Yarrowia lipolytica: one gene and its partners. The protein of the gene in region 3 purifies or fractionates together with the protein of the main gene of each other region. This does not show direct contact. Links are inferred from orthologs where the notes say so. Each region holds a gene or a part of one and is shown on either strand. Other genes may lie near its edges.

Region 1 (10,507 bases), about 1.1 Mb from region 3:
AGACCGATCTGGCACCTTTTGATCTTCTTAGAGCCGTGCTTGGAGGCAATTACTCCGATGAACTGATCCAGAACACACTGGAGAAGCACAACTACGACATCAATGTGGTTATTGTGGTGCTACAAAAGTACGACGACCGTTCAGGTTCTGAGCATGTGGAGGAAGAGGAGCAGGCCGCTCAGGTTTACGAGATGGAACATCATCAGGAAGTACACGATTACAGCGGCTACAACAACTACGAGGACCCCAGCATGTACGAGGAAGAGTACGATGAGGACGAGAAAGAGGTCTATGCGGCACTGGCTCTGTTGCCAGGAAGAGAGGAGAAGGTTCTCTGTAAGTACTTTGTGCAGTTTGGAGAGTGTTTGCGGGCAGATTGCAGATATTCCCATGATCTGACATCACGTGTGTGTCGATTTTGGGTCCGTGGCGCGTGCTTGAATGGCGAGACTTGTGCCTTCCTGCATTCCTTTCCAGAGACCGAGTCTACTCCAGAGCCCACAAAGCCTCTGGAGAACTTCTCCAAGCCCATGCTTGACTCCTTGGAAGATTTCCCCACTCTGGGAGGAGCAAGTGGAACAGCTAGTGACACAAAGTCCAAAAAAAGGGAGAAGCCAGGTAGCAAATGGGCAGCTGTGGCCAGTTCTAATGACACACAAACTGTTGCTGAGAAGCCCAAGAAGAGGTTTGATTTCAGCAAGGTGAAGCCTACTGAATCTTTTGTGCCTGGTACTGCTGGTGTCCCTTCTTTTGTGCCTAAGGCATTCACTCCTACAGCACCTAGTTTCACTCCTACCGCACCTAGTTTCACACCTGCCAAAATTTCGCCTGCCAAAGGACCGGCAGCTCGCATGGCTGTGCAAAAACACAACCCTCTGACTCTTCTTCGACCAGAATTCACTCCCTGGGTCGAGAACCCTCACCAGCTGGACGAACCTATTCAGGAGTACCTGCAGCTTCGAAAGGAGAGCAGAAAGCATATTGAGATGCGAAACAAGTATCTCAACCTTTCTGCCGATAACTGGCATATGAACCGACCTGATGCTGCCAAGATATACTCTAACAAGGGTCAGAAGCACCAGCAGGAACTCATTGCAGCCAGTAGAAAGGCCTCTGACATTCTCTACAATTACCGAGATGACCTTGGAGAGATCTTCTGTGACCTTCATGGGCTTGAGCTTGATACCAGTGTCATGCATCTGGAGAACATTCTTCTGGGAGTCGAGGAGCAGTACAGAAAGAATAAAAAGCTGGTGTATGCGATCTCTGGTGTGGGTTACCATGTTGTTTCCAAAACAGACATGTTGACCAAGGAGGTGAAGGCCTGGCTGGACGAGTGGGGCTATGAATACAAGGTTTTTTTCATTGGCAACGAGAAATTCGGAACCGTCATTGCCATCGATCCTTGGTCCCATATCTAAATCAAATAACAAAAAAAAATCAAAAAAGAAGAAAAATAGTACACGTAGTTCTAAGCACGAATTATTCTACTAATGTGGCGCTTGTACAAGTATAAGTACTGTACAAGTAAGTAGCCACTGTACACATACCGTTACTGTGTGTGTGCGCATACAATACCTACTGCAGACGGCGGTAATTGTATACAGTACACACAGACACACCCTTGAATTACGTGAACAAGCTCATATAGCCGCCTCTCTTACACGCAATCGCGTAAAAAAATGATACATTCATATATTTAATTATCTCTTAAGAGTCCTCCTCGAATCTAATGCCCTTTCGTCTTCGCACCTTCTCCTCGGTCTCGGTGGTGATGATCTCCACATCTCCAGCAGCGTCAGTCACACCATCCTCCTCGACAGTGACCACCACATCAGTGGGCTTGGTGACGGTGATGAGCTCAGCAGTTCGCACCCATCGTCGTCGTCGGGTGTACTTGCTAAAAGAGTCGTCTGCAGTAGGTCGCTTCCATGTGTTGTCATAGTAGATCCATCCCTCGGAGGGAGAAGGATCGGGCGTGCTCAAAGCCTTGTTGCCAATAATGACCAGGGCGCCATCGTTGGTACAGTCCAATCGCCAAGTAGGATCGACCCACTGCCACTTCATGCCGGTGCCCTCTGTATCGGGCAGCTTGAACTCAGAAGGAGGAGTAACCTCGTTGAGGAACTCGTCGGTCCAAGGAGTTCGCTCGTAGGCCAGAAGGTTGGCGGTCCAGCCAATACCGAGCCATCGTCGTTGGTTCTCATACAGTACGTAGGTGAACCGCACGGGCTTTCCGTCCTTGGACTGCACCGACAGGGGCGATTGGGTGAATCCAAAGGCGCCCAGGTTTCGCTTTGTGTTGGAAAAGTCGAGTCCAGTGAGGTAGAAGGTGACCAGTCTAATGGCCTTGGACTTCCAGATGACTGCTCGTGTGACTCGGGCAGCCATGGAATGGTAGGTGAGGAAGAAGACGCCGGTAGTGAGCAGGAACTTTCGGGGTCCAAGGAAAAAGTAGGCACCAAACATATACAGAGGCGATAGGAAGAGCGTGGTGAATGCCAATCGGGTCACATCTCTGGGGGTCAGGCTCAGAGAGGTGATTGGAAGCAGCAGAAGATTTGCCTTGGTGGTGACATTGGTCAGCGTGTGCACAATTGCATCCAGAGAGGGCTCCGATGTTTGCCGTCTCTCCACACTTTGTCGAATGTACACAAAGGCCCAGATGAAGCCCACGGCAAGAATGTGACCACAGTAGATGACCAAGTATTCGTAGTACATGACCACGGTCACGTAGACGGCCACCAACAGAAAGCTCTGCCATTGATCATCCTCAGTCCATGTCAGCAGACCCAGCACCTTGTCGCTGGCCAGAATGTATGGGTATGCTTGAGCTAGTGCCTTGGTGACTGTTGGGGGAGTGGAAGACAGCAGGGGACTCATTGATTGAGGCTGCGAGGCCGTTGAGGGAGGGAAGGCCGCGTGCGTCGCACTGCTCTTTTTCTTCTCCTTATCCGACATTTTTGCTGTTTGCCGCTGTGATTGTAATGTGCTCACAGGCGTAGTGTGCTTGGTCGAATGGGGTTTGGGTGGTGATGTTGCTATGAGCACGCTTGCATGATGCTCACAAACTTTCACACTGTGGGGTACAATACGCACTACAGTACTGTAGGATGGGATGACCACCACGAGATGGCAATTAAACTGTTGGTACACAAGTTAGACACCCCACTACCCTATAGCACTTTTTAGATCAAGACCCCTTTTTGTTGAATTTCAAGACTGTCTGTGGCGTCTGGGACCGTTGTACACCTCGGGCGACCTCGGCTAGATTTTCCACCCAAGAAGTTCTCTACCCATGCGCGATATCCGAAAGAAGTTGGCAGGCGCGTCGGGAAGGTATTTCCTTCATAACTTGTTGACTTGAAAGTATTGTCTGCCCTTACCACATTCAGCATCAGATCAATTGGCCCTCAGTTTGTGTAAACAATTGCCACAGTTAACAGAAGTCGCTCTCATTCTCACCCCACACCGCATACTATCTGCAGGCCCTGACTGAATGTGCAAAATTACCTTACAATTTGGCCCTTGGCACAAACCCGGAGAAGTCATTTTGTGAACCTTGATGATATCGGTGGGGTTTGGGCGTATAATCACTTTGATGGCTTAGTCAGCCGTCAGATCAGGCTTTAGCGTGGTAGTCTTTCGGTGTTACTTGGTCCACACACAGATGTATGCAAAGAAGCTGGGTGGCGAATGTCTTGAGCAAATCAGCTACTGTAAGCGTATACGTTGTGTTGTAGTTGAAAGAGTAAAGGATGTGCACAATTCAAGGGAAGCCACAAGGAAACTGGTTGTATCATAAATTTGTTTTTATAGTCACGAAATACATTAATACTTCTAAATTCTAGTTATTGGCCATCCCAAAAGTGTCCTACTACTCGTACCAAGCGGTAGTAAGCTGCCACAGTCACCTTTTACATCGTTCTCCAATCTGGCTATGGGGGACCAATCTATCTGTGCTCTCGCGATTGTACATACTGTAGCACTGCAACATGAATGAAGTTATCTTTAAGATACTCGTACTCGTACTCGTATTTGTAGTGGTACTTGGACCCTGTTTAAGGGGCAAACTCAACCTCCATCTTGGCCACAATGGCCTCCAGATCCTTGGCCTTGAAAAGCATCAAGTGACCCTGAGGGAAGATACCATACTCCTGGAAGGCTCGCTTGGAGTCAGCCTCTTGGGAAGCCTTCTTAAATGCGTAGGAGCCGTACTGTGTACTCTTCTCCTGAATAACCTCATCCTCGGGATGGAAGTAGTAGGTCTCGGGCTTGTATCCGGGGCCCTTCTTGTTCTTCTTAGAGGGCCGCTCGTCCTCCTCGTCCACAGAGGTCTCGGCCTCAGTGAAAGTCTTCGAGAGCACCAGGAAGTAATCAAAGTCCTGATCCTTAGTCTCATCAAGAAGCATCTTGTACATGGGAGGAACGACCTGGACAGGCATGTTGATGAGCCGCTCAGAGATGATGAGACCAACCTTGGAGGTGGAAGAGGGGCCCAGCAACTTTCGCATCTGCTTGTGTAGCTCGGGAAGGTCCTGTGTTCGAGCGACGAAGTAGTCAATGAGAGCAGCAATAACTCCCTTCTTGTTGTCCTTGTGTTTGGACATGTTGATGACTGTGAGGATGGCGAAGGGATCGGACTCCTTTCCGTCGGTCTTAATTGTGGTTCCGCAAGACTCCTGCTCAAGGATCATATCGGAGAGCTCAGAGAGGTTGAACGAGGTTGAGTCAGAATCCAACAATTGTCGCAGCAGATTTCCAATGGCGTGGTAGTCAATGTCCTTGTTGAAATCAAAGTACTCAAAGTCCACATCGATGGTATCAGGGACCTCCTCGTCGTCCTCCATGGTCGGATCGTCAGGAGAGTCGGGAGCGTAGGAGTCCTCTTCGAGGTAGGACTCGTCGTATTCGTCTTCCGACGAGGTCTCGGCGGGGTGTTTCTGGTCTTCGGCAGCTCTCTTGGGCATTATTGTGTGTCGTGTGTGTAAAAGCTCGTCACACGGGCAAAAAATATTTTAGATAAAGTACACCCGAAGCTTCTTCGAAAGTCTTAATTTTTATATGCATGAACATTAACCTGACATCACAGCGACTATGGCACTCCTCAATGCGGCCCCCCAGGCTGACGAATCGCCCGAAGAGGCCCAGCTGGTGCACAAGCCCGCGCAAAGAAGCACTCTAGCCGACAACACACCGACCGGCCATGCACAGAAGGAGGCGTTTGACGCATCCACGTTCCGACAGCAACACCAAGATTTCAAAAGCACGGGAGTGGCGTTAGATCCATCCATCGCCACCCAGGGCCAGCTTGTACACAACCAGCATGTCGGTGGAGACAATACACAGAACAACCGGCCGTTAAAACGCCACAAAAAGGGAGAGGTGGGTGTCTTGGAAGGCAAGAAGGCATACAAGGGACCATGGGCAGCATATGACGACGAAGAAAGCACTAGTGAGGAGGAAGAGGAGGACGACAGCGTGAATGACGTTGAGGACAACACCAATGTTGTCATTGCAGATGCCGAGACTGAGCCTGAAACCGTCAAGGAGAGCTCTATTCTACATGTCAAGGGCAAAGACTACCTGGGACGATCTTTCATGCACATTCCCCAAGATTTGGGTATCAAGCTGACACGTGATCCTGGGGAGAGCGAGTGGCATGTTCCTACCCGAAAGGCCCATACGTATACTGGTCACACTGGTGGTGTGAACGCACTACGTTTGTTCCCCAAGGCTGGTCATCTGCTGTTGTCTTGTGGTAACGACTCTAAAATCAAGCTATGGGACGTTTACCACAAGCGCGAGCTCATCCGCACATACTCTGGACACTCGCGTGCTGTTAAAGACATATCTTTTAACAATGATGGTACGAGGTTCCTGTCTGCATCATACGACAAGAGTGTCAAGTTATGGGATACAGAATCAGGGGAGTGTCTGGCTCAGTTCTCCACGGGCAAGATCCCCAACGCGGTCAAGTTCAACCCCAACAACAACAATGAGTTTCTTGCTGCCATGGCTGACCGTAAGATCATCCATTGGGACATCACAACGAAGGAGACTATCCAGACGTATGACCATCATCTGGGACCTGTGAACACAATCACATTTGTGGACGAGAACCGGAGATTCATGACCACATCAGACGACAAGACGGTGCGAGTCTGGGATCTCCAAATTAACGTCCCCATCAAATATATTGCTGACCCTGCTCAGCACTCTATGCCTTCTGTACAGATTCATCCCTCTGGCAACCACGTGGCTGCTCAGAGTATGGACAACCAGATTGTGGTGTTTGCTGCCAAGGACCGGTTCAGACAGAACCGAAAGAAGACCTTCACAGGTGCATCTTCAGCAGGATATGCCATTGAGGTCAATTTCTCGGCGGACGGCAAATACCTCATGTCTGGAGACACAGGTGGAAATGCCTATTTCTGGGACTGGAAGACTTGTAAGCTCAAGAGTAGCTTCAAGGCCCACGATAGTGCCCTTCGGTGCATTGCTGCCCACCCCCAGGAGAGCAGCAAACTGGTTACTGCAGGTAGAGGCAGTGAGATCAAGCTATGGGAGTAGGAGAAATGTATTTGTACACTAATCGATATACTACAGTTTCTACTTGTAGGTAATGACTGGGGTGGAAAGCTCTATACTGTGCACTGTATCTGTAGTTTAGAAGTGCTGTAGCCTGTTAAAACAGGGTGCAGTACGTAGAACAAATATTTTTGCAGCTACTGCACAGTATGAGTACAATTGCCTGTTGCGCCGTAATCACGAAACATACGAAACACTATTACTGGACATGGAGTCTCAGGTTTTGTGCCCATGTTGTAGTAAGAGGCACGTGTCTCATGAGGCATTAATCGCATGCAAGTGACAAATAGATGACTGAATAGGCAATCGTAAAGCTATATATCTCCTCATGAACATCGAATCGTGCACAAGTACACGGTACAGTATGTACAGTATGTGGTATATTGTACACCTTGGCACCTTAGTACAAGCTAGTTTAGACCAAAATCGGACTGAGAGGCCTGTTGGGGAACATTTGTAGTTTATAGCGGGGGTAAGACAAAGAACTCTTGTTTTTCCGATCTTGAGAACCTGGTAAATGCATTGCCCCTCATTTGAAGGAGATCATTTTTGTCCAGTGAAATTAGCACGTCTTTCGTGGTGGCAATAATGCCGATTTATCCATCATGCCTATATCGCACTCCGATAACACCAGCCAAGAATTCTACTCACGCATTTCACGTGTGCTAACCGTATTTCATTGGGGTGCAGCAAGCATGCGGCCAACCTTCAACTCCAAAAATCTCAGCTTCCTCGCCGACAAGCCCATGAACCCGACACAAAACGCGCCTGAATGGCTCTTGTATCGCGACAGCGACTTCGTCAAGATTGGCGGGGTCCAGCGGTATAAGATCACCTACACGCCAAGCGAATCGCCCATGAACTCGCCCATCAAACACCCCGAAGACATGACACCCGAGTCCCCTCTGGGTCACCCATCGTCTTTGTGGCTCAAAATCAGAAACACAGAGTCTATGCCGATGCGAGCAGCATATCTCACGGGTCCGTTTCTCCTCTACGTTCACGTGGTTCCCGAAGCATACAACCAGAACGAGCAGTGCTACGTTTCGGCAGACCAGCCCTCTTTCGAACCGCAACTCAAGGCGGGCCAAAACTACTACGTGGAATTGCATATGAACAAGCTACAGGAGTCCTACACGTGGACCGTGGATATTGTATCTCAGATAATCTTTTCTGCTTCGGCAGAGATCAACTATGAGATTCTGGTGGGTGAGACGCGTGAACACCTACACCGGTACTCCGGAAACGCCATGGGAATGCTCTCGGACTACATTACGGTGCTACGACAAGACACAGTGACATTATGGCACCAGCCAGTGCCTCGACCGAACGAACCCGTGCATCTCGTTGTGATCACGCATGGATTGCACTCAAACACGGGAGCTGACATGCTTTATCTGAAGGAGAAGATTGACGAGGCTGCGCTACAAACGGGAGAAAACGTCATTGTGAGAGGTTACCATGGAAACGCCGCCAAGACCGAGCGGGGAGTTCGATACCTGGGTCGAAGAGTGGCCAAACATATAATGGAAGAGCTGGTGACCAAGGACACTGCCAAAATCTCCTTTATTGGCCACTCTCTAGGAGGTCTCATCATGATCTACGCCATTGCATACATTCGATCCCATGACCACACGTTTTTCGATCGAATCAAACCACACCATCTGATTACGTTAGCCTCTCCCCTGCTGGGAGTCAGCAATGAGAACCCAGCTTATGTGCGGCTAGCACTGGACATTGGTTTTATTGGCAGAACAGGTCAGGATCTTGGTCTTACAAAAAAGCCGCTCCCCGGATACAAGCCTCTGCTGAGAATGCTGCCTACAGGACACACACACGAAGTGCTCAAACAGTTCCAGACTCGAACAGTGTACGCCAACGCCCTTAACGATGGTATTGTGCCACTACGAACATCCGCATTACTCTATCTGGACTGGAAGGGTCTGAGTAAGGTTGCGTCAGCCAAAAAGGGTGATGACAATGGATCTAACGATAGGGACCGAGGGGGCCCTGGAGGAGATGGAGGAGACAAGGGAAGTAGTAACGAGAAAGATAAGGAGAAGGATTCCAGTGATACTGGTAAACCCACGGGTGATATCAACGCCACTTCTGCTGAAGAGGCCAAGGTCTACGATGAGGCTTCCAAACAGGCTGCTCGCGATCCACAGGCAGGGGAGATCCCTAACTCTTGAAGACAGCCAGCAGGCAGTCAACAGACCCAGGAGGTTCCTGCTGGGAAAGGGCATTTTCCATGGAATCCAGGCTGCCATGTCTCTTATGATCCCTCACGGACACAGAAAGAAACCCTCTAAGATCTACTTGCGGTCTCAGACGAAAATGTCTGACGATGAGGACGAGGGAAATATGTCTGACTCTACGATGAGACCTCCTCCCAAGAGCTCCGTGATCGAGTCAGCTGCCTCTGTTCTGGCCATGCCTCTTCCCTCTCATAAGTTCATCTGTGACCCCGAATCGCGTGCTGAGACTATCATTCACGACCGTGTCTATTATGAGTCCGATCTTCCTCCCCGTCGGTTCAAAAAGCAAAAGTCGCTCAATTGTATCAGCGATGGAGGCGACAAGCATCTGGTGGAAAAGGCAAAGATGGAGGAGCGTATCGCCCGAGAGTATCACCACGAAATGTCGTGGCGAAAGGTGCTATGTCGACTCGAACCTGATGCTCACAACAACATCGTGGTGCGACGAAGATTTGCTAACGCGTTCGGCTGGCCCGTGATTGATCATCTTGTCAAAACACACTTTATTGATAACCAGCCCCATCCCGCCAAGGCACCCAAGCAGAAGGAGCAGCCTGCTGTTCTCGGTGTTCCCTCTGTTTTTACAGGCAAGTTCTCTCCTCCTCTTTCGGAGGTTAACTCCTCTACAGCATTGCCATTGCATCTGCCCGGGGAGGTTGCCGAGCCTGCCTTTTTTGAAATTTCGCGACCCGGGACTCCTGGGAGTCCTCGCAGCAAAAACAGTCACTCGTCAGAGTCCATCTATTCGGTGGGACAATGGCACAGACACCTAGAGGCTGAGAGTGAGACTGAGGGAGAAGACGGTCTGATCAACAACGCCAACAACCTTCTTGACGGCGTGAGAGAGTGGGATGCTCAGAAGATACTCCCTGCCTCGGTCTACAACTCTCTCTACAACACTACCAAGCAGGTTGCCCCTCCACCTCCTGCTCCCTTGGAACAGGACACTATTGAAGACCGGTTTAATGAGATGACTCTTGGTACATCCACGTTATAGGGCAATGGACAAGGACCACCAGTGCATATATGTACGAATCAGCTTAATCATTAACAACAATGCATTCTCTCTGACCCTTATAAGTACCGCCGGTACTGTACTGTACTTGGATGTACATACTGACTTACAAGCGTAATTACGGTACTGTACTGTACTGTGTGTATTCAATGTTAACGTTCACATTATTAAAAGTCTGTTCACGTATGAGTTTCTTCTGTTTGACTCTGGGGCCACTTCTATCATTCGCGTGCCTTAGACTGATGGCTATATAATTACTGTATGTGAAAGAAAGAACCTAAACTGTGTGATATATTAGGGAACAAGGTCCCCTGCCTTGAACAACGTATCACTCGTTCGATTGTTGCTTGTACTTGGCCTACATATCCGGCCGACCGTTATGCGCGTCTGCAGACGCACATATCGGGACCTCGGCTGATTAATGGCGTTGGTGATAGTAAGAATGAAAGAGAGAGAGAGATAGAGAGAGAGTCGCCTGTTATTATATCTGACTTGGTACTCTCTTCGTGGATTGTCGTTTTGTTTTTCAGCATATACTGCAATTTCGTGTCCACAGCAGCCAGGTTCTAAAGGTGCCTCCTACCCATCGACTTAAACTCACAACATAGTGTTTCATTTAAGCCTCCTCCTGTTATAATAAAAA
Region 2 (9,515 bases), on a different chromosome or scaffold from region 3:
GCAAAAGGAAGTGACACTATAGATCGGCCTGGTGAAGGGGGAGAGTGTGGCATGCATCTGTGTGCATCTGTGGGTGTACAAGCACTCGTACAAGTGTAGCACATACTGTACAGTACATACTCGCACGGTACATACAGCATATACTCGTAGGTGTTGTGAGACTGTCGGGTTCTGTGTAGGTGGTATCACAGATTTTCGGGACTTATGGTATCAGTTGGGTCGTATAAGCCATGGGCTCGGTAAGTGTGTATTACTGTATCTCGCGGAAGTAGCAATCCAAGTATCACAACTCTCACGCTATCACACCATCCCTCTCGCACCCTAGATCGATGATACTATGGGTTCCAGACGGTGATGAAACGTTGTGTGCGCGGCAAGGGGCCTTGATTTCAGGTGGGGCGGTGGTGTGAAAACGGTTTGTAGTGATATCTTGTGTTGCTTGTATGTATCTCTCGTGTTGGCATCTTGACGACTCTGTTGTGTTGTGTGTGTGTTGTGTGTGTTGGATACAGTACAGTATGTAGTAGGATAGTGGTTTTAGGATTGTGATACGATATGAGGTATAATTAATTGTTAAGTAATCTTATTGTTACTGTTATGATTTTGATGGTACTGTATATACAGTACACCCAGCATATTTGAGATTAGATCAACTTACTGAATCGGTATCAATTAATCAAACAAAAAGTTACATCGGCTAAAGAAGAGCAATAATCAGGGGAAGAACAAAGGTAGCGGTGACAAGCTTGCCAGCCCCGTTGGCCTGGGCTGGAGGGTTGATCTGAGCGGTGGCCTGGGCAGGCCTGACGGTGGAAATTCCAATGGTCTGGGTCAGGGTCTGGGTCAGGAGAAGAGTGGTGTCACCCTCGGATCCTGCGGCAATTGGGCCAGCAACCGGTCCAACAGCGGGGGCAGCGGCGGGAATCTTCTCGCCGGTGGAGGTCTTCTCGTCGGTACCGGTAGAAGCGTTCTCACCAGCGGGGGTCTTCTCACCAGTGGTGGTCTTCTCACCAGTAGATGCCTTATTTCCGGCGGATGCCTTGGCAGTCTCAACAGGATGGTCACACTTCGTGCAGATGGTAGAAGTGACGGTGCTCTTGGTGTTTCCAGCTTGAGTGGCACCCTGAGCATCAACAATACTAACAGGACAGTCAGTTACATATGTGGTGACTCGGTCAACACCACCAGCAATCTCAGTGCACTTGTTGCAAACCGTGACTGTCACAGTGGACTGGGTCACTCCGGTGTGGGTGACTCCCTCGGCGTCAACAGATGTGACAGCCACATCGGTGACATGCACGGTAGTGACAGTGCCGTTGGAGAAGCCACCACGGATACCATCACCGCCAATCACTATCACGTTGACGTTCGAGTTAGTGTTGCTGTTACTGTTGCTGTTGCTGTTGGTATTGGCATTTGCAGTCTCCTCGTCCTTATCACCATCATCATGGATGGATCCTGAATCGGAGTCATCCTCATGCTTGTCGACTGGGGAGTCCTCCTTGCTATCGGCGTTGCCACCCAGGAGCTGGAGCCATAGGACATGGAGAGAATCAGCATGAGTCTGAAGCTTTTCGGCGAGCTTCTGGAGCTCTTCGGAGTGGCTATCACCAGCCTCCTTTGCCACCTTGTCGGCCAACTCCTGCACCAACTGCCACAGAGCGTAGGTCTGGTCAGCAATGCTGCTGTTGGAGTCGATTACGGTCTTGGAAGGAGAGGAGAGGTCATTAATCAACTTTTTAAGATCTTCAATCTGCTTGTTCAAATCATCAATCTTCCCCTTCAATTCAGAATCGGTGGTTGCTGCTTCTTTCAGTTTATCTTCGATTTCCTTTTGGACATCCTCGATGTATTTGAGCTCCTTCTCAAGATCTTCAATGACGGAAGGGTCAAGGTTGGTGGGCTTGTCGTCCGGGTTGGCGGGCTTGTCATTGGGGTTGACAGGCTTCTCGTCAGGGTTCACAGGCTTCTCGTCAGGGTTCACAGGCTTTTCATCAGGATTCACAGGCTTCTCATCAGGATTAACAGGCTTCTCGTCAGGATTCACAGGCTTCTCGTCCGGGTTGGTAGGATCCTCAGGATTCACAGGCTTGACAGGCAGAGAGTCGACAATGATCTGGGCAAGACCCAGCTGCTCGGTGTAGGCAGCTGCGATCTGGGCCTCGTACATGAGATAGACATTACGAGCCGCGTGCTCGTAGTCTGAGCCGGTGGGGGGTTGGGTTCCTTGATTAATCAACCACTGAGAAACTTCTCGGATGTTAGGATCAAGAGGTTGAACAGCGACTCTCCAATCGGGCTTGTTAGTTGCAGCGACATACTCCTGCTGAAGCTTGAGGGCCTCCACAAGATGTTCGTTGTCGGGTTTGAGAGCGAGGTCAGCGGCAGCAGGAATCTTTGCACCAGCCATATTGGACTGAGGCCAAGTATTGAACGACGACACAATGTTCGAGGCTGCAATTTCCGGGCTGGAATAGAAATCGGGAGCGCCTCCGAAGACAGTTGGGTAGGTGAGCTGTTTGAGGGCTTCGGGGTCGTCGGTGACGAGGGCCATAGCCATGGGGACCAACAAGGCGAAAGCGAAGGCAGAGAACTTCATATGGAAAGACTTTGGTGAGTGTATGAACTTGTTGTTTCTGGGGAAGAAAGAAGGGAACTTCCTGGGTTATATGTACAGATGCGAGACTTGAGCCGTCGCAAGATTTTGAATAACCAGGCATCATATCCGAACCATTTCATTATTGGAATGTACAAGACTTGGTCGAGAACTTCCCAAGTACCTCCCAAGAAGGAATAAGACCAGTTTAGCCCATATTTTTTCGAGGTAGACACTGGATACTGCTTCTCAGTCTTCTATTGTGTTTACAATTATGAGGGTGATCATGGAGAGGGGTGTCTAAGTAAGTACTGCAGCTATTTGGCTGAGTTCTTGTCTCATCTGTGGATGGGTTCGCTTCTGGGACATGGTCGTCTCGTCGGTAATAAGTGAGTGGAGTTGAGCTGAATAATAGGCATGTTTATTGCATAAGATCGGTTTTATTGCATAAGATCGGTTTTGTTGCATAGGGCCGGTTTTATGGCATAGTCATCCATCTTTTTGAACTTGTTCACCCACTAATCTTGTCGAGATGCACTGGAAGTGTGTTCAGGGACGGTATGAGAGTGAGAATGTGGAATTACAAGGACAAGAAAGAATGTAAAGAAGGGAGAGTTCTCTTGTGGTATTGCGCTTGTAGTCGCAGTCTGATACCAAAAAAAAAAAAAAAAAAAAAGAAGAAAAAAACCATTGATCTGGTCCGGAGCTTAGATCAGGAGCTACAAGTAGCGTCGATCTCTCCGCTAGCATTCTGGTGTAATACTGTGGGGCATTTGTGTGGGAATGTAGACAAGTCTTAGAGCGATTTAATGAGTGTATCAAACGGCATCGCTTCTTGCCCATGATTCGATGCATTCTGTTCATGTTCAAACATCGGGCTATTTTTGGACGCCGCGCTTTCGGAATGAGCGGCAGATCGACAATCGGTGAAAAAGACCCATTTAGTGGGAAATAATACACCAATTGTCTTTGAAACACACCCCGATCGGGACGTGGTAAAGTTGAACACAGGCCTATCAGTGGGTAAGATTGGCTTGAGCTAGGTGGGTATAGTGGTAAGTGAGGCGATAGAGGTTGGCGAGTCTTAAAAAATTGAATCTCGAGTATAGCCACGATTTTCTAGTCTGGAACCACAAATACCTGAGATCTAGAAGCTCTTCTGTATGGGTGATGACTTCCCCACATATATCTACACCCCACTTTGACGGAATGCAGAATTGGACTTGACCAAATCAAAGCAATCAAATGGTGCGGAATCTGGGCGAAAAATGTCTTACTCCCCGGTTCCTGCTTCCTCCAATCGTAGTAGAGCTCGTTTAGCATTGGCACCACTGTAGACTGTTCTGCAGGGCGTAGGTCCCTTTGAAACGGGCCAGAAGGGTCCAAAAATTCAGGTATTGAGTAAACAGTGTCTTCCAAAGCTAACGGCGTTAATTTCTTGTCTGTCCGAGATCAATATTGTGGCCATCTTGCTTATCTCCGACGTCCTGTTCGGTCCACATTTTTAAGCTATTGGGTTCTGACTGTTGTTTTTTGGTCCTGGGTTCTGATCTCGACTACAACCCCGGAATGAGGCGACCGATGGGGAAGCAGTCTGGTCTGGGCCATTCAGGTACCCCCAAATTATCCCCCGCTGGAATAAAAATTGCCAAACCCCAGGTCCATTACCCCAACATGGCAACGTCCCACCCAGGTAAGCTCCAACGGTCACATGACCGGCGGAAAACTCAAGCGAAACGAGTCGGACGTTAGACACAAACAGCAGAGACACAAAACCAACTGTAAAGACAAGGGAAGGGTATTTCGTCCCACACTGCAATGTCGTGTGAGGTTAAAGGAGAGCAACTTAGCTAATCGGCGTTAAGGCTGAGTTTGGAATGTTAACTCCGAACTCTGTAGGGCAAGAAAATTACACCTCTGGACATCTGAACCCTGCAGGGCAAGCTTGAGCTAGGTCCTGCTTGGGTTGAAGCAGGGTCTCTCCCGCGAGTATCTCTGGTTTCAGCTGAATCCGCAGAGCTGGAGTACAGTACTCTACTCCTGTCCTGAGGGTGTCGGAGATGGCACCTTGCAAATCAGGTGGGCAGGTGGAGACATTGAAACATTGAAACATTGAAACATTGAAACATTGAAACATTGAAACTCGGCAAAGATCATGTTTCCCATCACAGTCGTCTACATCATATTCCAGGGCCTATACGTTCTCTACTGGAATCATCCCCAGTCCATAAGTTATATTACAAAGTCTTAACGGTATCCTTTTTCCTTCTCTTGGAGTTCACCCATTGTCTCCGGGACGGTATGAGCCCAAGGAGATCCGTCTGTCGGTTGGTCGGTGGTACTTGGCTGTCGTATCCTCCAGCTGCGAAAGATACTGGCACAAACTTTGACAGACTGTATCATGATACTCAGTAACTAAGCCCTGTACCAATAGTCAGACAATGGTAGCTGTTGTGCAGCTGCCAAACCTGATAATGCTGTATCCCAGTCTTGGGACTCTCGTTGATTCACTCATGGCTGTGACTCGAGGCTGCGACTAGTGGCTGTGATTCACTGCTCATTCACTCGTCGATTAATCACTCGAAGCACAACCCCGACACCCACAAGTCACACACTCCACCGGCTTGTCATCCTTGATATCCTTTCGAGGAACCCGACAGATACAAGTTCCTTCGTGAATGTTCTCCTTTCCTTGAATGCACCTCAAACAGCAGAGATTCTCGTATCCCTGCTTTCGCCACTTGGCAATGAGATTCTGATCGGCATACCCCTTCTTCAGAAGATATGCATACAGCTCTTTGGTGATGGCCTCCTTCTTGTAATACAACTCATAGACATATCGAGACCGCTGGTGATGGATGCGATAAATGTCCCATAACAACTGGTTCTTTTTCTTTCCCTCGGTTGGAGCGTTTTGGGCGTCTTTTAGCTTGTCTCCAAACTCCTGCAGAATATCGGAGATGTCGTCAAATCCAGCTGGAGGCGCTTTCGATCGTGAAGTGCGGATTTTCACCATTTTGTGCGGTGTCTGATGATGCTTAGTAAGGTTTCAGGTGGTATCTGGCGCCCCTTTTTCTCTTCGATCAATATCCAGGTGGTGGCGTTGTGGATGTGATGTGATGGTCGATAAATGCAGTTGGAGTTTCGTGTCGCGTCAGGGGTTTCGATCGGCTCCCTTATGGTGTTTCACGTGATTTAGGTATCGCCGAGTCCGTCACGTGTTTGTGCTTTCTGAGGTTCGGATCAGAATTTGCTGTTTTGGTTGTTTTGGAAAGTGGTGATGATTTTTTGGAGGTTGGTTTTTTTGCTGCAGCTAAAATGCATTTGAGTTACATAGGGGGAAAACAGGGGTGGATCTAATGTAGCCAATAATGGAGCTATTTGAGTGATTTTTGGCCCATTATCTTCTTAGAGTGACTGTAATGCTACAGTAAGAATTTTAGCACCTGATCCCATACAAATATACCCAGTTGTGACGGACCTGACTCTCATGCAGTGAAGCTATTATCAACAGAAAATTTCTGATAAGGTACTGACGTCAAAATCATTGGTGGAAGAGGAGAAAATGAGGCTACAGACGGTATCATTGCTGTTGACATCTTCTCTGAAGTGTGTCCGATTGTTCCAGTTTCCTCTCCCTCTCTTTCTTCTAGACTTGCTGTTTCTGCTGTTTTCGCCACCCAAAGCAACCGAACATGACTCAGTGGGTGAATTGAAGAGATAGCCCTATGATATTCATATTTGAAGTTATATATACAACACTTTTTGGCTACATTTCCAATTGTTGAACGTCTATCTAATAGCACTATTCCACGCGCCCAATGTTTAAGTAATTTTCCAAGTAATAGTGAGTAACTCTATTGGTCCCCAACTACAGTCCCATCCCTCTCCCCACAACCTCCATATAAAACACCCAATAATAGTCCAATAGAAAATCCAATTATATCTGAAAACTCTTCCCATTCCTCTGATTCTGATGATATCAAAATCTCCCCCAAATTGTTACTTTTCCACTTTGTCGCCACCCTCCCCCAACTCCCAAACTCAACCCCTATATTATCCAGCAGTAGAAAAAAGTACACTTCTGCACTACACCATCACGGGATCAGACTAGGCGTAGTCAGACGCCGCCCCACGACGTTACGGCCGAGCCCGGTTAAAAACACGCCCCCCTCCCATTCAAAGGTAACCACGGCAACGCAGCGCCGACACAGACAACAGCAATTACAACACGGTATTAGTCATCACAGCAACCCATCCAGCGGACTCACAACAACAGTGACATAACACTAGTGACGCAATGTTACCGCAATATCTCATCAACGTGGCGACATGGTCGACGTTTATCGCCATTTTCATCTCGACAATATCCATTCTCCTACAACTCTACACATACACCCGTCCCGCTGACCAGCGGTTGGTGATTCGGATTCTGTTTCTGGTTCCTCTATTTGCGCTCTCGTCATGGCTGTCTCTTCTGGAGACCCAGGACCAGATTTCCAGACCTCTGGCCCGCTTCAACATTGTGCTATCAGCTCTCAAAGAAATCTACGAAGCCTTCACCCTCTACACCTTCTTTTCGCTGCTTACCAATCTGCTCGGCGGCGAACGAAACATCATTTTCACCACCCAGGGACGAGCTCCTCTCCACACTCTGTTTGGAAAGGTCAACATTTCCGACCCTCACGAATTTCTGACCGTCAAACGAGCGGTACTGCAGTACGTGTGGATCAAACCAGTGATTTCTGTGGCCATCTTTATCTGCAAGATTCTGGGAGTCTACAAACAAGGGGAAATCAGCCTGACTAGTGGATACACATGGATCGGTATTGTCTATAACGTTAGTGTCTCACTCAGTCTGTACGCCTTGGGAATCTTCTGGATGTGTCTCCATACAGATCTGCAACCCTACAATCCCTGGCCCAAGTTTCTGTGCATCAAACTCATCATCTTCTTCTCATACTGGCAAGGGGTGGTGTTGGCACTGGCTCAGTTGATGGGCATTATTCAGCCGGAGTCCTCCGCACCCCTCCAGGACTGGTTCATGTGTCTGGAAATGACTCCCTTTGCTCTTTTGCACATGTGGGCTTTTCCTCACGACGAATACTGCCAAAGAGACTGTGGATTTGCCCGATTACCTGTCTGGCTGGCTCTCAGAGACGTGCTGGGGATCGGAGACCTCATGTATGACTTCAAGAGCACCTTCTGGGGAAAAGGGTACACCTACAGGAACTTTGACAGTGTGGAAAGTGTCATTGTGGACCACCCAGATGCAGACAGTCGAGTCAGAAAGATCATGAGTGGCCTCAGATACACGGATGGAGGAAGAGGTAAATACTGGCTGTCGGACGAGTCACGCGATGACCACGAGGGCAGCGGCGACTCGTCGTCGTCGTCACGTGACGCCACAGAACACAGCGGGCTGCTTGCGGGTCAGCAGTCGCATGTCGCTGCTTCAGATCAGCTGCTTCAGATTGCGTCGATCGCCGAAATCGACGACTCGTTCGACCAGTGGCGAAACGAGGACGACTCTTCTAAGGCACGTGACTACGGCGCCACCGATCTCGCCACCCACATTGTTGAGCCTGTGTCTGAGCAGGAGTTGTATGATGACGATGATCTTTACTATGATGCACGGGAGCAGCGGTTTGGCGACTTCAACTATAGAGTGAAGACAGTGAAGGAGCAGCGCACGTGGCGCAGTGAGCACAATGGTGGTTTGAGGAGAGAGTTGTGATTATGGTCGTTTGTCGTGCCCTAGTCTTACCCTGGTCTTGCCCTGGTCTTGCCCTGGTTTTGCCCTGGTCTTGCCTTGGTCTTGCCCTGGTCTTGCCCTGGTCTTTCGCAGACTTCGTATGTCTGGTGTTTGCATTTGTCGATATAGAAAGTATTTATTTATTGAACATTTTTGAAAGGAGATTGCATTGGTGAAACAAATACAAGTAGGTAATTTCTATTAGTTTAGTTATTTATTTATTTTTCTTTTATTTATTTTTCTTTAATTTTCTCCATCTGTCTGATATCACGACTATAGACTAATTCACAACCCAACGGTTTTGTAATTATCCATGCGATAAGCAACGCTACAGACTCAAGAATACTACCGTCTGGAGCGGCTCATCGCAAGCTCCTCCCTTGATACCTATATCGGCGGTGGTCTGAAAAGGTTTACCCCATGAGCGAGGTTATCAACAGTAGAATTTGGCATCGAGACAGACAGCTGAAATCTGAATTCGGGTGTCTCTTCTGAGGAGAAGATTTCGGACCGAATCTTCGTTGTCTAGAAGCGGCAGAATTTGTTTTTGTCCAACGGTGAGCAGCCATGGACCAGAGATGGTGTCAGAATGTTTGTTGGAGACAAGCACTCGTTGGTAGTTGCATTGGTACAGTAATTTTATCGGTACATACTTGTACACTCGTGCCATACTCGTCATAATTGGTGGATATTTCAACTCAATCTGAGTGATTAGTCAGTATATACATCAGCTGTGCTACCTAGAAAGAATCATCAATTGAGCAAGATTTAAACAACTTGTGGGTTCTGACGGTATATAAAACTGATCAGAAGACGATTCTGGGTATAACGGATCTACTTTGGAGAACATTCTTGTAATTTTGGGTCAATTGGAGTCACTAACTACTTTCCTGTTGAATTGTACACTACCTACTGCATCGCTTGTCGTCCAATGTCAGATAGAGATGACTTGGAAGGTGATAGAGACAGCCAATGTGATCTCCTTAGTCGGTTCTATCCATTCCAGCAAAAATCTGCAGAAGAAATACCCCATTGCAAGAGTTGTTCTGAGATTGATATTTCTAATAGAAAACTATCTATACTTGAACTAGACAGTTGCAACTTTGACAGGTTGATTCTGGCATCGAAAAGAGACGTCGGGGGAAGGTACTCGTACTGTACGAC
Region 3 (11,233 bases):
GCGTTGTTGGCGGACAGAGTGGTAAAAACTCGACGGGTGGGTCGTTTGATCTGCAGGCCAGTTCCGTCGTCCGCAGACACGGCATGGCCGGTTTGTCCAGCAGTAGCAGGGTCAGTACATCGCCACAGAACCTCTCCAACCATATCGGAAATCTGGTCGGCGTAGTAAATGTGGGTTCCCAGGGAGATCATGCAGGCCGAAAGCTTGTCAATGAGCTCCTCGAAGGCGCCGCTGGCCTCATTGTTGGACTGGGCGTGCTTGATGATGGCAGCCTGCTTGTTGAGTAGCGATCCCAGAATGTCCATAACGGACAGGCCGACCATGTTGACTGTAGAGGAGAGCAAGGCGTGGATCAAGGCGGCAACCACGAGTTCGGACTTGACATTGTTAGGCGACATGGCCACGAGCATCTCAACCAGCGAGACGAGGATCACAAACCGGTACTGGACAGGAGCCCACTTGGCCACAATGACCACCAGCGACGTTGCCCAGTGCTCGGGCACGTTGGAGTTGATGATGTATGTGACAATGGCTCGTGTGGCACTCTGGATCTGCACCACGGAGGTTGTGTCGAAGAATGTGCGCAGGGCGTGGAACGACAGGTATCTGACCTGTTTTTCGGGCGACTCCTCGTGAATGAAGTTGTCGATGGCGTCCTGGTGCATAGAGTTTCGCTTGGAGCCTCCAATGTTGTCTGGGAGGCCTCCTCCGAGATCCAGGGAGTGGTCCAGCTGTTCCAGATCAGACTGGGACTCTTGCAGAGAGGACAGCAGAAGGTGGACAATGGGGGAAATGGAGGTGGATCCGGTCTGGGTGGCAATGGCAGCAGAGCCAGCAATGCTCTTGGCAGCTTCGAGGCCCACAATCTTCCACTGCACGCTGTTGGGGCCGTTGGGCACCTTGGCCATGTTCACGTAGACCTCGAGCAGCTGCTTGAAGGACCGCACAAACTCGGGGTCGCCCAGAAACAGGCCTCCGTCGTGGTACTGGCAGAAGAGCGCAAAGACCTTGTTGGAGTGCTGGCACAGCAGCAGGTCTCCGGAGTTGACCACGTCCAGCAGGGTGTTGACCACGTTCTGAGCAAACAGGTTGAGGTCTTCGTGGCACTCTTCGATGAGCTTTGCAAAGATGTCGAGCGCCACCATGACGTTGCCCTGGCGGCCTCGGCTCACGTCCTTGTAGCATTTGTTCTCGAGGAACGGTCCGACCTTTTCCAGCTTGACTCGTCTGTGGTTCACGTAGAAGAGCAGATACGACAGCTCTGAGGGGTTGGGTTTTTTGTCCGCGGCCTGGCCGTCGGGGTAGCACTGCAGCACCAGTCGCTGGTGTCGCGGTTTTGGGATTCCGGGCGCCATTTTGTGTGCTTTGTCGGGGGTGGTTGTGTTGCTGAAGATGAGAGATGGTCTGATGGGTTCACCGCACACGTCGTTCGCTGCGATATGCAATCTTGGACCAAAGCCTATAAAGGAGCTGTTCTTAGACACACACCCCGCGTTGAGTTTACCGGGGTTTTAGTTTTGCCATGGGCGAGAATGTCGGAGATGCGATTTGCGGGAGCGAACCGGGCGAGTTTGCATGTTTTTGTGGCGCGCAATATCCCGTTGGAGCTGCGTGCTCCGTGTTCGGGGTGCCACGCTGCTTATTCCCGCCTCCGTAAACAGCCCATGGTCCCAGCTCATCTCAATCACATGCTGGTAGGATGCACCCCTCGCTTACCCAGTCTATGCTCGAACTTTGTTGGGGGGTGGGGAGGAGTCTGAAAAAAAACCGAGACAAGAGGATGGAAGAAAGACAGACTAGGGTGGTGGTGGGGTTGGGAAAAGAAGCGGAACAAGCGGGGCATGCCACACTGTCGGTATGGAGGCAATGTTCCACTGTCCACAAGATGTTGGCCTATGAGTATCGTACAATGTAGTCGTAGTATAGTCGTAGTGGTACTACTACCCTTGTCGCGCTACACATAGCTCTGTCTTAACCGAGAGCGGACACTAAGGGTCATTTGGACAATGTCTTATAGTGATTAGCGACTGGTAAGCGAGTTTCTAGCCAGCTGTTGCGTTATGGCGAGAATTGGAGCTACGAGTAGTGGCTTCTTTGTAATTCATCCTCAGAAGCTGGCACTACTTGCACTGTACCTTCCGGCACCGGTGGTAGTAATCACGATACTTACGATAACCTGCCAGACGTCAGTTTCTGGCCCATCTGCGTTCTGCAATCTAATTACTCTACTCGTAACCCCACATCCCCACAAATGTCTTAGAAGCGAGTGCTGGGTCGGGCGGGATACAAAGAAGGCGCTGGTAATAAAGGACCAGAAACGGCATTCAAATGAGAACATCCACGCTAAACAAGACCCCAACCCCTGCTCAATACTTGTCCACCGTAGATGCCACCTCTTGTCCGTGGAACTAGACTGTTGTGCATACACTTGTTCCTGCGTCCAGTGTCAACAAGTGGAGAGGAGTGAGACAGTGATTACGATCGACGACCGACCAGCAAGTCGTAGATGGCCAAGAGTTACCATTCGGACACCGTTCAAGCCTCGCAAAAGTTCTATTGCATCTATTGTGCATTTGGACAGCGTCCGTCGTGCCCTGGTGTCGTATTGTATCGCGTATACATTCTGTCTGTCTGTCTATGTCTATATCTATCTATAAATTATGTCTAACCATGTCTCGTGGCTAAGACTTGCGATGAAACAGCTCAATCGCCAATGCCAAAAAGATGGGGATCAGCGAGAAACAGCCCGCTGTGATGAACACATTGTCAACCCCAACCGAATCCACCCACGGAGACAAGGAGAAGGACTCCACCATACAGATGGAGTTTCGGACCACCACAACAGCAACCAGAGACTGAGCAGCCAGGGACTCCTTGTAGTCGATCAGATAGGTCAATACTATGGATCCCACGCTTCCAAATCCGAAAGAAACAGCTCCAAACGCAAGAGTTGGCACCACCCAATGAACTCCTCTTGACACCGAGATGCCAAAAGTTAGCAGACCTGCCGTGACGGCCAATAGACCTGGGTAGATGAGTTTCAGTCGCATCTGTGGACTGTAGACGCCACTGTTGAGTCTTGTTCTTCGCACAATGTCCCAGTCAGACAAGTACCCGCCGAAAAAGGAGCCCATGGTCATGCCCACAAACGGAGAAATGAACACCAGACCAATGGACCAGGGACTCATGCTATAGGGGGCTTCTGCAAACTTGAGAGAAGTCACTACCGACGACATTGACAGAGCCAGCAGCAAAAATCCATAGGTGATTGCGGCAAACGCGACAATGGGCGAAGCCAGTAGGACAAACGGAGTGTAGAAAGACTTGAAGAAACTCGACCAGCCAGGAGTAACTGTGACCAACGGGATATGTGGAAACGAGTCGGTGCACTTGATGCATCCTCTGGACGCGCTTCTCTCGGTATCATACGAGTTGTGTCTTTCCATGTCGTTAACCAATGTTTCTCTCTCCTCTTCGTCACTCTTTGAAGATGACCGAGGGTATATGCTCAACTTTTGACCAGACACATGGCCAGGTTTAGTTTCTTCAAACAGAAACAAAGATGCAACCAACTCGACCATCTGAAACAGGCCAATCGCCCAGTACGCAGCTCTCCAGCCCCACTGGTTGACTATGGCTCCAGCAGGCACCAGAATGAGAAAGTTGCCCACCGAAACTGCAATGATGTACATGCCGTTGTAGGTGCCTCTGCTCTGGACCGGGAATAGGTCTGCAATCGTCATTTGGACACACGCCTCGGTCAAACTGGCAGCCATGCCTTCTAAAAACGAAACTGTGTACAGCTCATGGAGAGACGTCATTTGCGCCTGCCACAGCGAAGTGCACAATGACAGAGCCACTCCAAAGAGATAGACCGGCCGTCTTCCGAATTTGATGGCCACGGGGATCATCAGAAGACACCCCAAACCCTGGCCAGCTATGCTAAAAGCGTAGCCTCTGTTGAGCTGTTCAAACTGCCAGCCCAGATCCCTTGTCTGGGGTCCCCAGACAACGGATGCTTGACACATTGTTGCAAAAGATGTGAGAGTGAAGAGAGCGACAAAGGCGAAGTTCACCTGCTTTCTCCATGTTCTCCTCCCCCCCCCCAGAGGCTGGGAGCCGTTGGAGTCGTCTGTTTTGGATTTTGTTTCGTCGATATCGAACCGTGACATTTCAAAGCTCGTTTGTGAAGGAAGAAGAGCGACGCCATCGGAACTAGACATGTGTCAGCCAGTGTGTGTTAAATACCAATCCTGTATACCATGTATACCAGTACATCCAGCCTGTCATCCGGAGCTAATGTCCTATTGAGTGTAGACACAACAGACGGCGTAAGGCCGAGTAATGGGGTAAATCAGGGATTTTTGGAACTGGGCGTTTTTTGGAATCAATCCCATCTGCCCAGTTGAACAGTTTCCAGTCTTTTTCTCGTCTTCAAACCCGCTCCAACCACCTCAACACGACGTCACATTCCCACCCCCAAAATGTACATTTCCGGAGAAATGGGTATGCCTGAAATATGCATGATAAAGTGCGACCAGTGCGGATACAAGAATACATTAAAAGGGGGAAATTGCAGAGCTACGTGATCTGCTGCTGTATTATCGGCTTCACCGGTACGACAAGTCAGGGGGTATGTGTTTTAATAAGACCCAAACGTTTTATCGTCTTCTTCTGTGGCATATTCCTGACATTACACATTGGTCAATATAATGATACATGCAGAGCACATACAGTAACATCAGACACACGCGCGCCTTATACAAGTATGTACAGGACGAGGGTACGATACAACAGCTTCCCAGGATTCAGCACATGTTTCTGTTATCATACACGCTTCATAGTGTCTCAAAATGTCTGCAATCTGCGTTTGTATCCTCTTCCCTCTTCAGCTCATTTCAAACAAACACTGTGCGAGTTTACCTCTCGAAACGCGTCATTTGTCAAAGTTCAGACAGACCGTGTGATGGAGATGGAGGAGAGCCACCAGGAAACTGACATTTCTTACTCCCTCTGAGATGATTGGAAGGCTCGATTGATGTAGAGTTTTGTGGACCAACTGCGAGGGACAGCTCATTTCGCGTAGAAGATGCTGTATGTTCAGATATTTATGTTGGAGAATGATTGGGTCTACATAATTCACAGCAGTTCTTTTTAGAAAATTCTAATGATTTTTCACATATCTTTAATTTTTTTTTAATATATCTTTATTCTAATGGTTTTTTTTTTATATACTGTAATATTATATATTTCTTTTCCAGCACTCTACAAGCTCATATATTTGGTCAGTTCGATTCCCGTCTGAATCATTTTGATAAACTCTAGTTACCAAATATTCTGCATGAGCTCACCTCCGAACTTTCTCACCACTATCATCACACACACGAAAACATCATGGCGTACGTCAAAGGAGGAGTTTGGACAAACGTCGAGGACGAAATCCTGCGGGCTGCCATCTCCAAATATGGTCTGAACCAATGGGCGCGAGTGTCGTCTCTACTGGCTCGAAAAACAGCCAAACAGTGCAAGGCTCGGTGGACCGAGTGGCTTGATCCGACCATCAAGAAAATCGAGTGGTCGCGAGAGGAGGACGAGAAGCTGCTGCATCTGGCCAAGATCTTTCCTGCACAATGGCGAACGATTGCCCCGTTTGTGGGGCGAACTGCACACCAGTGCATTCAGCGATACGAGCGTTTGTTAGCTGAAGTTGCTGGCGAGGTGGAGGGCGAAGACGCTTCTGCGGTGGCATCTGCACCCGCCACTGAAGGTGACCAGTTTCCCGAAACCAAGCCTGCCCGGCCTGACGCCGTGGACATGGACGAAGACGAGAAGGAAATGCTGAGTGAAGCGCGAGCTCGTTTGGCCAACACTCAGGGTAAGAAGGCGAAAAGAAAGGATCGAGAACGGATGCTAGAGGACTCGCGACGGCTCAGTCAGCTTCAGAAGCGACGAGAGCTCAAAAATGCAGGAATCGACACTCGACTGAGTAAAAGGAAGAAGAATGAGATGGACTACAACGCCGATATTCCCTTTGAACACAAACCGGCCCGTGGCTTTTACTCAACTGCCGAGGAGGAGCATGAAAACGACTCGGAGCGTCTTCAACACAAACAAATGCACCGCACAGCTGCGGACGCACCTGGGCCGTCACAAAAGCGAGACAAGGCAACTTTGTCCAAGGAGGATGAGGAGAAGAAAAAGGAGCAGCAAAAGACGGCGTCTGCTCAGCGAACACTTCAACTGGCACAGTTGGACTTGCAAGATCAGATTTCCAAGCGACGAAAACTGAATCTTCCTGAGCCACAGATCCAGGATCAGGAAATGGAGGAGATTGTGAAGCTGGGAGCTCAGGGTGAAGCTCTACATAAGCGGTATGCAGACGGAGTGGCGTCAAGCTTGTCGGGTGATTACGATGACAAGATTGTGGACGACTCCATTCGAACTCCTCAAGTTCAGCAGTCGAAAGTAAAGACTACAATCGAGGAGATCAAGGCCATGGAGAACCGGTCTGTGCTTGGTAAGAGAACCGAGGAAGAGGTCGACGACGAAGCTGAAGCTGATAAAGATGGATTTGCAATCCCCAAGCTGCCTTCTAACAAGGCTGTCACTAGTGTTTCTGCTGGATCCGATATAGGAGGAGCTACTCCTGCTGGGATGACTCCTATCAAGCGGGACGCTCTGGGTTTGGTTGGATCTGTCGAAGCTACTCCTGTTTCTATTCTGCGCCAGAAACTGGCCTCTCTTCCTAAGCCCAAGAACGATTTCGAAATCACTGCGGAGGACGAAGAGGAAGATGAGGAAGCTGATAAGGAAAAGAAGCCTACAGATAACTTGCCAGTTGATAAGGGCGAACAAGCTCGATTGAAAAGAATTGCCGAGGAGCAGGAGCGACAAGAAGCTCTCAAGACTCGTTCTCAGACTCTTCAGAGAGGTCTTCCCCGGGCTACTGTTCCTGAAGTTACTTACAATGATGCTATCGGTCAAGAAGTAGTTGCTCTTCTCAGAGAGGAGGAGCTTAGGTTTCCCAATAAAGGCGATTCTGTGGCTCTAATGCAGTCTGAGTTCTCTCTCGACGACTTAGTGGATGCCGAAACTTTGATTGAGATGGAACTGATGGAGGGCGATGAGCAAGAAGTGCAGGAGGAGGATATTAAGACGGCTGCTCTTCCTGGAACAGTTGCTCGTTCCGACGAGTCCGAGGAGGAGTTCAAGACCCGTGTGGAAATCATATCCGACCAGCTTGTTGAAACGCTAACTTCTCTTGCGGAAACTTGCCAGACCGAAGAGACTGCTCTGGTGGACAAGTTTAAGGCGTATGCCAAGCGCCAGGCTACTTTATCTAAAAAGCTGACTTCTCGGTGGTCTCAACTTGAGTCTGTTGAGGTCGAGATTGCCGTGTTTTCCGAGTTAGCCCGCATGGAGGAGATTGCCATTGAGCAGCGAAGCGCGGCTCTGCAGGAGGAGGTTGACTGGCTCGTCAAGAAGGAACGTGCCGCGCAGGATAAATACCGTGAGTTGAAGGTTAAGGAGCAGGCCGCCAAGGGTGGCCATTAGGAGTCGATTAGTTAAGTAATTATTTATTGTGCATTTTGAACAGCTGATGGAGCAACAGGGCTGGTGAAGGCCTCTGCTCCGGGGTGCTCCTGCGCTCGGGTAGATACAGCACAAGTAGGTGGATCCTTCCGGAAGTGGCGATCCGGGTCGTTTAGTACTTTTTAGTGGGGAAGTGGAGAAGTTCTAAGCGAATACGTTTGTATACTTATTGACTATATGAATGGTGGAATGAGGAACGATTGCGGCAGCAGATGATGCACTTGTGATCTATTAAGACGTCAATCCTCCCCCTACGTGTGTGCTATCAGGCTACTGTTCATTTGGCCCCCAGTCAAAGTGCGCCAGAGGTTGGGCTCGACGACTATCATCGCTAGTACATACTTGACGTCTACATTTCTAATCCTATCTCTGGTCTAAAAAGATTTTCCGACAGTCGATTTATAATACAAGAGCTACGAGTATGTATATAACTACGTATATACTCGTGTAGAAGCGGACCGGAGGCGGGGACTCAACGTACTAATTTGGACTGACGAAGTTGGAGAAGCTGTCGTTGAGGAGTGAGACGTTGCGCAAGGCTGCAGATACTTGAGAGCATGTCATTATATAAGACTCCACAGTATCTTCTTGGCTCTCGTATGGGACAATAACAGACCAATACTGTCTCTATCCATTCCGGGACTACACATGGCCACAATGTTTCACCAATAAGACTGTGGTTGGACCGCTAGACTAAAGGGCGGAAAAGCAGTTCACGCCTGAGGGGTCATGATCTCGCCATTTAATGATTAAACACGACTTTTGATATCCAGGCGTATATATAGACCTGTCTACTCGCTCAATCTGTCTGTATACATGTCAGCATGGATTTTGACAACTTCCCAGCACCAGATCTGTCTCCAAAGAACATCAAGAGGTACCTAGTCACTCGAGTCACTTCTTTGAAGCCTCCAAAGCTCACGGTTGAGGAAAAAAAGCACATCAACCCGATTCCTGCCCTTCGACTTCTGAACAGGAAGCAGTGGTTGTTTGTAGCTGTGGGATTCTGTGGCTGGGCTTGGGACTCGTTTGATTTCTTTTCTGTGTCGCTGGTTGCATCTGAAATTGCCGAGAGTCTCCATGTGTCTGTCACAAGTATCACCTGGGGTATCACTCTTGTGCTCATGTTGCGATCTGTTGGAGCTGTCATCTTCGGAATGCTGTCGGATCGTTTTGGACGAAAATGGCCCTTCATCACCAACTGTGTCTTGTTTATTGTCCTGGAATTGGGCACCGGGTTTGTACAGACATATAAGCAGTTCCTTGCCGTCAGAGCTCTGTTTGGAATCGCAATGGGGGGTATCTACGGCATGGCAGCAGCTACAGCCCTCGAAGACTGCCCAGTACAGGCCAGAGGAGTCATTTCGGGACTGCTACAGGAAGGCTATGCATTCGGATACTTGTTGTGTGTCGTGTTCACCCGAGCCATTGCCGATACTTCTCCTTTTGGGTGGCGCGCTCTTTTCTGGTTCGGTTCGGGTCCTCCTGTTCTCATCATCATCTTCCGACTATGTCTTCCTGAAACCGACACCTATCTTCTTTCTAAAAAGAACGCAGCAGAGGCCGAAGGTATTGAAAAGAACTTCTGGCGAGGCATCAAGATGACCTTCAAGACGTACTGGCTCATGTTTGCCTACCTGGTTGTTCTCATGGGGGGCTTCAACTTCATGTCTCATGGCTCACAGGACTTGTATCCGACCATGCTCAAGAAACAGCTTGGATTCAGCGAAGACCGATCTACTGTTACCAACTGTGTGGCCAACTTTGGAGCTATTGCCGGTGGCCTTGTTGTGGGTCACGCTTCTTCTTTCTTTGGAAGACGACTGTGTATCATGATCTCTTGTGTGATAGGGGGAGCGCTGATCTACCCTTGGGCCTTTGTCACCAACAGTGGAATCAATGCTGGAGTCTTCTTTCTGCAGTTTTTTGTCCAGGGAGCCTGGGGAGTCATCCCTATTCATCTTACAGAGCTTGCCCCTCCGGTCCTTCGATCGTCAATGGTAGGGGTGGCTTACCAGCTGGGTAACCTGGCTTCTTCTGCTTCTTCAACCATTGAAGCCACTATTGGAGAAACATTTCCCCTTTATGACAAATTCGGAAACGAAAAACCAGGAGTGTACAATTACAGTCTGGTGATGGCCATTTTGATGGGTTGTGTCTTCTTTTTTGTGCTTTGTGTCACGTTTCTGGGTCCAGAAAACAGACAGGCAGAGATGATCTCTGGAGGCTCTGAGCAGGATAATGCCTACGAGAGGAAGCTCGAAGAGATGGAGGACGAAGAGAAAGGGGTCACTGAGAACATTGAAAGACGTTCTTCGAGCGATACTCGATAATTGATTAATGTAGGGTGTGTGTGTGACGAGTAACGAGTACTACCTGTGGTTGAGAGTATGAACAAGTAAAGTACATCCTGTAGTCAATGAGCGGTCAAGTATCATGTTGCAAATTACTTGGCTTCTTAGTTTGATTTTTAATTTCCCAACTAAGAGTCCAATTACACTCTGTCTACTATGTTCTTATCACATCAACAATAAGCTCTCGCATACAACAACTCAATCAGCAACTTGTAAACATCGATTCGTGCCTACTGCTGAACACACTGCCAGCTACTGCTTGCAAGTGCGGAAACGACCCCAAAACACCAAGAGCGTCTTGCGACCATGCCAAACATCATCTGGATCCCGTTTCGGGAGACACAAGCTGTCGATCTAATCACAGGACTGGGCGACACCATCGAGAAGCAGCTGAACCAACCTCGAGACAAGTTTACAGCCGACCTGAAAACAGCCAACGACCTGCGTAACAACATTCTCAACCCGCAACCAAACGCCAGCTATCTCGACCACCTCACCAAGTACTACGCCCAATTGACATACTGGACTACCAAGTTTCCAGCCGGATGCGATAGCCTGGAGTTCATGTGGTACGGAACTCTGGCCTACACCGCCAATGCCGCCCCCGTCATCAGTCAAAGCCTTCATTTCGAGCGATGCAATCTTCTCTACAACCTGGGCTCGCTGTACAGTCAGATGGGCGTCAATGAGGGAAGGCAGGACGCAGACGGTCTAAAGATGTCATTCAATTACTTTCAAATGGCAGCAGGATGCTTCCAGATTCTCATTGAGAACGGCTTGCCAGACTTGGAAAGTCTCAACATGCGAGGACTCGAATATGACACCATTTGCTGTGTTAGAGATCTCATGTTGGCCCAAGCACAGGAATGTTTCTGGCAGAGATCGCTGCTGAGTGGCTCACGAAACTCTCTGGTGGCAAAGCTCGCGCAGCAGGTATCTCTTCTTTACGACTCGGCGCTCGCCTGGGCCCAAAAGAGCCCGCAGGTCCGAAGCGAATGGGTGCATCACATGACGTGCAAACGACAGCACTTTCTAGCGGTCGCACATTACCGAATGGCACGTGACGCACTGGATGGATGCAGATATGGCGAGGAGATTGCACGTCTCAAGGCTGCTCTTAATGCCATCAAGGAGGGGACAGGAAAGGGTATGCTCAGAAGGTACCTGGTGGAGAGCGTGGCCGATGATTTGAACGGAATCATCGACGTAGTAACCGAAGATCTCAAACGGGCCGAGAAGGATAACAATCTTATCTATCTCCAGTCTGTTCCTCAGACAACCGCTCT

Evidence for each region.
Region 1: the proteins of YALI1_D25370g (region 3) and YALI1_D35966g purify together in Schizosaccharomyces pombe (affinity purification with mass spectrometry; 3 studies listed by BioGRID, with this or other methods). This does not show direct contact. The link is inferred for Yarrowia lipolytica from reciprocal best matches to the Schizosaccharomyces pombe genes cdc5 and prp17.
Region 2: the proteins of YALI1_D25370g (region 3) and YALI1_B23609g purify together in Schizosaccharomyces pombe (affinity purification with mass spectrometry; 3 studies listed by BioGRID, with this or other methods). This does not show direct contact. The link is inferred for Yarrowia lipolytica from reciprocal best matches to the Schizosaccharomyces pombe genes cdc5 and cwf14.

The regions. Positions count from the first base shown.
Region 1 is NC_090773.1:3,591,444-3,601,950, forward strand, and holds YALI1_D35966g (uncharacterized protein), read left to right. Parts: upstream 1-5,097; coding exon 5,098-6,573; downstream 6,574-10,507. Other genes in the region: YALI1_D35911g (uncharacterized protein), read left to right, coding at 1-1,421; YALI1_D35945g (uncharacterized protein), read right to left, coding at 1,711-2,961; YALI1_D35965g (uncharacterized protein), read right to left, coding at 4,062-4,970.
Region 2 is NC_090771.1:2,355,354-2,364,868, forward strand, and holds YALI1_B23609g (uncharacterized protein), read right to left. Parts: upstream 5,613-9,515; coding exon 5,169-5,612; downstream 1-5,168. Other genes in the region: YALI1_B23554g (uncharacterized protein), read left to right, coding at 52-95, 151-325; YALI1_B23579g (uncharacterized protein), read right to left, coding at 698-2,599; YALI1_B23603g (uncharacterized protein), read right to left, coding at 4,834-4,980, 5,037-5,111; YALI1_B23622g (uncharacterized protein), read left to right, coding at 6,897-8,333. UniProt on the Schizosaccharomyces pombe protein: Involved in mRNA splicing where it associates with cdc5 and the other cwf proteins as part of the spliceosome.
Region 3 is NC_090773.1:2,531,628-2,542,860, forward strand, and holds YALI1_D25370g (uncharacterized protein), read left to right. Parts: upstream 1-5,394; coding exon 5,395-7,554; downstream 7,555-11,233. Other genes in the region: YALI1_D25330g (uncharacterized protein), read right to left, coding at 1-1,355; YALI1_D25337g (uncharacterized protein), read left to right, coding at 2,061-2,657; YALI1_D25359g (uncharacterized protein), read right to left, coding at 2,682-4,223; YALI1_D25400g (uncharacterized protein), read left to right, coding at 8,418-9,926; YALI1_D25419g (uncharacterized protein), read left to right, coding at 10,254-11,233. UniProt on the Schizosaccharomyces pombe protein: Involved in mRNA splicing and cell cycle control.